2 linked regions of the Xenopus tropicalis genome follow. The protein of the gene in region 2 purifies or fractionates together with the protein of the main gene of each other region. This does not show direct contact. Links are inferred from orthologs where the notes say so. Each region holds a gene or a part of one and is shown on either strand. Other genes may lie near its edges.

Region 1 (3,500 bases), on a different chromosome or scaffold from region 2:
GAAATTTGATTGGCTGTTGGCCCCTCCCACTTTGGGGGTCATTCAACAAATGTGGCTGTTTCATTCGGGTGACCCCATGATTGTTGTTCATGTTTGGGGGGTGTAGCTTTAAAGCTGTAAGAGTGGCAGCATTTTGAAAATCTTCCCTGTCAGTCAATGGGAAAATCGGGGTGTTCGGAGCGGCGCCACAAAAAGACTGGGGGAGGGATCGCTTAGAAAAGCACAAGCAATCTGCTCCACTTTAGGGCGAAGTGTGGAAAGTTTGGGTGTTGTCCCCCTAAAACTGTAGGAGTATCTTTTAGAAAATGGGGGACGCTAAGAATAATAATAAGAAAAAGCAGAAGAATAAGCTGAACAGTATGTTGGGTTTTTTAACCCAACATAATAAGCAAATAAAACTGTAGTATCCCTTTAATTTGTTCTTAAGCAGTTCAGGCAAGACTTACCACTGGTTAATTCCACTATGGCAAGAAAATCTTTTATTTATAAAAGATATTCTATTGAGGGAAATGTTATCATTCCTAAAAGCTCATGGTATAAGACCATAAATGTCAAAATACTAATCTACCATATACTAATATATAAATGTGTGAAATATTTTTTATTTACAAATGGCCTTTATTCACTTAATGTGCTCTGTATTTATCCCCAGAGTGTGCTGATAAAAAATTATCTATTAATTATTTTATAGTTTCGTAAAATTATCTTAAAACCTTGTACAAACTTTTGCAAAATGGCAAATATAGCACATTCATTCCAAGTAATGTTTAACCACGCAGATATTAATTTGCAATTTGGGGTGGTTAAAAACCCAAATTTTATCAAATAGTGCTTTATACTTTTTTTTTTTTTTTTTTTTTTAAGATTTGTAAACTAAGCACAATGGGTGTAATTTATTGATATTGGGCAAAATTGACCATGGGCAGTAACCCATGGAAATCAATCAAATTGTTGCATTCATTTTTCTACCTTCAGCTGTCTAGAAAAGCGAATCTGTGGTTGCTATGGGTTACTGCCCACGGCCAAATTTGCCTAGTGTTTATTAATGAGTTTAGTATAGTGTAGTCCTGTTACTGCTACCCATTGAAAATGGCCAAAGTGAGTTTCTGAATAGCGATGCTCAAATCTGTCTCATTTTGCTTTACCAAAACATTTGTGAATTGTGGCTACCACGTGATTTTATTTATTTTTTGACGTGGCCACAACTTTTTCCTCACTGCGAATTTTTACAGCAGTTTTGCAAAAAAAATTGCCAAAGACGGAATGAGAAATTCTGCCACGAATCCATGTCTGCTGAAAAAATGTGCTCATCACGCTTACTGAATGGTGCATTCCTCTTAGTGCCAGTGTCTGCCTGAGGCAGAGAATTTCCTGTTCTGTGACAAGAAAGGCTACTCCTTAGTTCTCCACGAGAGCAGCAACACAGCCAATACTGGTGTGTTGGTGGTATAAGATTTAATATTAATAATAATCACACCTCTTGCTTATGGTTCTTTTGAGCAGCAGACAAATAATCCACACCAATAAGTGTATGTTAAAGTGATATACTTACAGGGTAGTTATACAGTCTACATTATTGTAATGGTAATAGAACAGACGTTGGCTTCCTTTTGTCCTCCAGTTCTATCATGGCTTCTCTCTCTCCCTCCAGCACCTTTGGTCTGCAGTCCTTACATGATGTCTCCTCTGTCTCCTTAAAGGCTGCTCCCGTCTCCTCACAGGCTCCCCCCCCCCCACTGTGCAGTGCTTACTTTTTATACAGGTTTTCCCCACTTGCCCCCACAGTGAACGTCTCAACTGATAAGATAAACCACCCCAAACTTGCCAGTTTTCTGCAACCTGTGAGTTGAGTGAGTTTCTCGCATACAGAAATTAGTTTATGGCTCCTGTAGAAAACATACAGTCCAACTAAAATTCACAGGAAAACCCTTTAGTATGTATAATTTGTGTCTGCTTATGATTTGAAATGTAAGCTTTCTGCACAACTGGTTTTCTGGTCATGGTGAATATGAACACATACTCGTATAAAAGATAAATAATGTATTTCAATGTAGTGGTTATTCTTGCACAAATTCCAAGAAAATATTTTACAACACCAAACCAAATAAATTTAATATATACTCTATGCTGCATATAAGCTAGTGCAATTTTTTTTCCAAAAAGGACCACCACCTTGGGGATGGCCTTAATGATTTGATTTACTGGTGGGTGTGTATTGCCCCTTTCACCTGTCATATGTCCTTTAAAGGTAAGATAAGTGTGAAGGAAAAAAAATGCTCTGCTAGTGCTTTATATTAAAAATTAACTTTAAAATATGCGTTTTTAATTAAAAATCTGATTGTATTTTTACCATAAGTTCTATTTATTTTGGCAAATGTATATACTATACTGTGCCTTTCAGTTACATTCTACAATACCATATGTCGCAAACATGCTCCTGGGTACAAAAAAAGTGCTTATATCCCACTATTTGAATTATTTCAACACAAATCATAGGAGAGAATCAGCACCATTTTATTTAACGCCACAAATTTCTTAGAATCCTGCTTCTGGACAAAGGGTTTACAGTTGTCCAAAACATTGAATGATAGGGTGGTGGTTAAAGTTCTGATATACAAAATTAACCACAATATATGTTACCATTATACTTGTACTTAACGGGCTAAACACAGGTTGCTGAATTCATGCTTGTATGTGTCGTATCTGAATGTAATAATTAGAACATGTTCATTTCAGCTTTCCTGCAGTAATTTTTCATTTATTGGTCACTCCCAAATTATTTAATTATTGTAGGAGTTGGAGAAAAGTATTCAACGTGGGAGCCAACAAAGCGGGAACTAGAGCTGTTACAGCATAACCCCAAGAGAAGAAAAATTACGACAAATTGTACTATAGGTAAGTTACATTTAGTGTGTGTGTGTGTGTGTGATATATAATGTATATGTGCAAAAAAATGTGTGTGTGTGTGTGTGTATATGTATATATATATATATATATCTATTCCAATGACGGCACTCACCAATCGCAAACCACGCGCCGGATGCTCACCAAAAATATATATATATATAGATAGATATCTATATATATCTAGATAGATAGATATCTATATATCTATCTATAATCTGTATTCTGTGTCTGCAATTAAAGGAGATCTTCAGTTAGCTGTGTTCTAACCCTATTTTAACTGCTTTGCCTTCTGATTTATTTAAAACATCACCTGTTATAATGCTTTCCTAAGTGTATCAGAAGATTTACCCCTGATAATAAGGGATTGTACAGCATATAAATCACTTTGCCTGTACTGGGAAACCAATCACTGCTTCCAATGGCAGTGTTGACTGGTTAGTATTAATCCATCTTGCAGGGCAAAGGATGCTTAAAGTTTACAAATATATCACTACTAGTATTACAGACATTCTTATTAGGGGTGCTCATTTTTTTTTTCCCCTCCAAATTTATAATGTTGATGTAATCTTTGTAATTAACTTTTATACATGAAT
Region 2 (4,136 bases):
CCGTGGGCGTTTCAGCGCTGGGGGTCCTGCTGCAAGTTGGGGCCGAAGGCTGTGAATGGACGACTGGTTTGTCCCTTGGCTGAGCTGCCTTTTCAGTGCCACTCGGGCGGGCAGCAAAGATGGGTTTCTTAAAGGATTCTGTGGTCCTGGCATCATCGGGCCCCTCCATGGGACTGTCCCTGGGCGCACTGCAGCCAGAGCCTCCATCCTTACTGGGAGTCCTTGAGGCAATCTCCCCATAACTGGGCCTGGGACTAGGTTGTTTCTCTGGAGTGGCCCCTGCAGAATCGGGGCCCGTGGAACTGATGCCCCTGGGTGAACTGGATTCCTTGGGGGTGCTGGCCCCAGAAGCATTGGAGTGTTCATCCTCATTGGTCCAGGAGCTGGACTGCCCCTCCCCATGGGATTGGGTAACATGGGGCCCCTGGGATTGGCTATTATCGGGCCCCTTGGGGGTAACATGGGACCCCTGGGATTGGGCATTATTGGCCCCCCGGGATTGGGTATTATTGGGCCCCTGGCATTGGGTAACATGGGACCCCTCAGATTGGGCATGATTGGGCCCCTGGCATTGGGCATGATTGGGCCCCTGGCATTGGGCATGATTGGGCCCCTGGCATTGGCTATCATTGGGCCCCTTGCATTGGGTAACATGGGACCCCTCAGATTGGGCATGATTGGGCCCCTGGGACTGGCTATCATTGGGCCCCTGGGACTGGCTATCATTGGGCCCCTGGGACTGGCTATCATTGGGCCCCTGGGACTGGCTATCATTGGGCCCCTGGGACTGGCTATCATTGGGCCCCTGGGTGGGCCTGGAATCCCGTTGGGTTTCTGCACTGGTCCCTGTACAAGAGGAACTCTCATGCCTGTGGCCCCCAAGCCCCTCATGGCTATCCCTGACCCCCCTGGAACAAACATTCTTGGGGCCCTCGCTGCCCCCGGCCCCCTCACCCCCACCCCTCTCAGCAACCCCGGGCCCTGGAGTGGGGGCCCCATTGGCAGTATCGGTCGGGCCCCCGGTACTGGGAGGTTCCCCGGCAGCGCTCCCCCCTTGCCCATTATCCCCGGCCCCAGGGGCCCCCGTATCCCCGGCTTCCAAGGCAGCGGCCCCGGGATAACTGGCCCGTTCCCTGCCATCCGGGTCATGTGCAAGGGCCTCCATGTATCCAGCGCCACTTTCACCGGTTCGGGAGGAGAATCCGGAACCCACGGTACGTTATCCCGCTACAAACACCACAGAGCGGCCCGCAGCTGCTTCCGGTCTCATGGAGGCGCCTGTTGATGAGATCACTTCCGGCGTGCCCCCCCCCCCCAGTCTGGGACACAGGGAAACCGGACTGACTGTGTGAGGTAATGGGGGGCTCCTGGGGGGCTGTTCTGCCCCAATAAGGGGTAATTATATCTTAGTTGGGATCAAGTACAGGTACTGTTTTATTATTACAGAGAAAAGGGAATCATTTAACCATGAAATAAACCCAATAGGGCTGTTCTGCCCCCAATAAGGGGTAATTATATCTTAGTTGGGATCAAGTACAGGTACTGTTTTATTATTACAGAGAAAAGGGAATCATTTAACCATGAAATAAACCCAATAGGGCTGTTCTGCCCCCAATAAGGGGTAATTATATCTTAGTTGGGATCAAGTACAGGTACTGTTTTATTATTACAGAGAAAAGGGAATCATTTAACCATGAAATAAACCCAATAGGGCTGTTCTGCCCCCAATAAGGGGTAATTATATCTTAGTTGGGATCAAGTACAGGTACTGTTTTATTATTACAGAGAAAAGGGAATCATTTAACCATGAAATAAACCCAATAGGGCTGTTCTGCCCCAATAAGGGGTAATTATATCTTAGTTGGGATCAAGTACAGGTACTGTTTTATTATTACAGAGAAAAGGGAATCATTTAACCATTAAATAAACCCAATAGGGCTGTTCTGCCCCCAATAAGGGGTAATTATATCTTAGTTGGGATCAAGTACAGGTACTGTTTTATTATTACAGAGAAAAGGGAATCATTTAACCATGAAATAAACCCAATAGGGCTGTTCTGCCCCCAATAAGGGGTAATTATATCTTAGTTGGAATCAAGTACAGGTACTGTTTTATTATTACAGAGAAAAGGGAATCATTTAACCATTAAATAAACCCAATAGGGCTGTTCTGCCCCCAATAAGGGGTAATTATATCTTAGTTGGGATCAAGTACAGGTACTGTTTTATTATTACAGAGAAAAGGGAATCATTTAACCATTAAATAAACCCAATAGGGCTGTTCTGCCCCCAATAAGGGGTAATTATATCTTAGTTGGGATCAAGTACAGGTACTGTTTTATTATTACAGAGAAAAGGGAATCATTTAACCATTAAATAAACCCAATAGGGCTGTTCTGCCCCAATAAGGGGTAATTATATCTTAGTTGGGATCAAGTACAGGTACTGTTTTATTATTACAGAGAAAAGGGAATCATTTAACCATTAAATAAACCCAATAGGGCTGTTCTGCCCCCAATAAGGGGTAATTATATCTTAGTTGGGATCAAGTACAGGTACTGTTTTATTATTACAGAGAAAAGGGAATCATTTAACCATTAAATAAACCCAATAGGGCTGTTCTGCCCCAATAAGGGGTAATTATATCTTAGTTGGGATCAAGTACAGGTACTGTTTTATTATTACAGAGAAAAGGGAATCATTTAACCATTAAATAAACCCAATAGGGCTGTTCTGCCCCAATAAGGGGTAATTATATCTTAGTTGGGATCAAGTACAGGTACTGTTTTATTATTACAGAGAAAAGGGAATCATTTAACCATTAAATAAACCCAATAGGGCTGTTCTGCCCCCAATAAGGGGTAATTATATCTTAGTTGGGATCAAGTACAGGTACTGTTTTATTATTACAGAGAAAAGGGAATCATTTAACCATGAAATAAACCCAATAGGGCTGTTCTACCCCCAATAAGGGGTAATTATATCTTAGTTGGGATCAAGTACAGGTACTGTTTTATTATTACAGAGAAAAGGGAATCATTTAACCATTAAATAAACCCAATAGGGCTGTTCTGCCCCAATAAGGGGTAATTATATCTTAGTTGGGATCAAGTACAGGTACTGTTTTATTATTACAGAGAAAAAGGAAATCGTTTTTAAAAATTAGCATTATTTGCTTATAATAGAGTCTATGGGAGATGGCCTTTCCGTGATTCTAAACTTTCTGGATAAGGGATCCCATATCTATTTTCTCACTGTACTTTTTGTTACTTTGCGCCATGCAGGTGATTAATATAAGAGAAGCGGCTGATGCGGCAGAGAGAGGCCCAGAATGACAGAGATATCATAGCTGAATGAGAGTCCATTGATTGTGTGACTATAATCACTGACACAAAGAGAGGGAAGATGATGCGCTATTGGGGCGAGATCCCAGTCTCCTCTGGGCAGGCCAATAGAAGCTCCTTTGATCTCCTGCAACGCGAGTTCCGAACGGTGGAAATGCAGGAGCCTCCCCTACACCAGCCATCGGCCAATAAGCCCCGGCCTACCACTATGCTGGACATTCCCTCTGAACCCTGCAGCCTGACTATCCACACCATTCAGCTCATCCAGCATAACCGCAGACTGCGGGGCCTCATCGCCGGCGCTCAGGCTCAGAACCAGCAGCAGGTGGAGGGTATGAAGGTGGAGGAGAGCGAGCCTTTACCCCTCAGGCCTACCTCTCCTGCCCTCCCAGAGGATCTGCTGCCCCAGGACTGTAAGGTCCCCAAGCTGCCATTCCAGATTCGGCACAGCGACCCTGAGAGTGAATTCTACAGGTATTATATCGTACTTCTTGTGTCTGCAGCCCTGTACATTAAGGTGTATATTTATCATGTTGTGTAAAAAGTGAAGTAAAACATTACCAGTGATGTTGCTCATAGCAGCCAATCAGATCAGATGATTTGTTTGCTGTTGAAATCTAATAGCTGATTGGTTGCCCTGGGCAACATCACCAGTAATGCTTCACTCCACTTTTTACAAAGCATGATAAATATACCCCTAAAGGTACGTCTTTGTGCCTCGCAGTGGGAGGTACCTGAACCTTCTAATGGCAGCTTTTTAAGTGGAGGAGCAGGGAGTTTGTGATTCAAGAAG

The links. Proteins that work in one complex are often made in the same cells at the same time.
Region 1: the proteins of supt7l (region 2) and usp22 purify together in Homo sapiens (affinity purification with mass spectrometry; 3 studies listed by BioGRID and IntAct, with this or other methods). This does not show direct contact. The link is inferred for Xenopus tropicalis from reciprocal best matches to the Homo sapiens genes SUPT7L and USP22.

What each region holds. Positions count from the first base shown.
Region 1 is NC_030685.2:41,426,026-41,429,525, reverse strand, and holds part of usp22 (ubiquitin carboxyl-terminal hydrolase 22), read left to right. Parts: intron 1-2,793; coding exon 2,794-2,895; intron 2,896-3,500. UniProt on the Homo sapiens protein: Deubiquitinase that plays a role in several cellular processes including transcriptional regulation, cell cycle progression or innate immunity.
Region 2 is NC_030681.2:5,371,949-5,376,084, reverse strand, and holds the start of supt7l (STAGA complex 65 subunit gamma), read left to right. Parts: upstream 1-1,336; 5' UTR 1,337-1,353; intron 1,354-3,283; 5' UTR 3,284-3,404; coding exon 3,405-3,817; intron 3,818-4,136. Other genes in the region: slc4a1ap (kanadaptin), read right to left, coding at 1-1,165.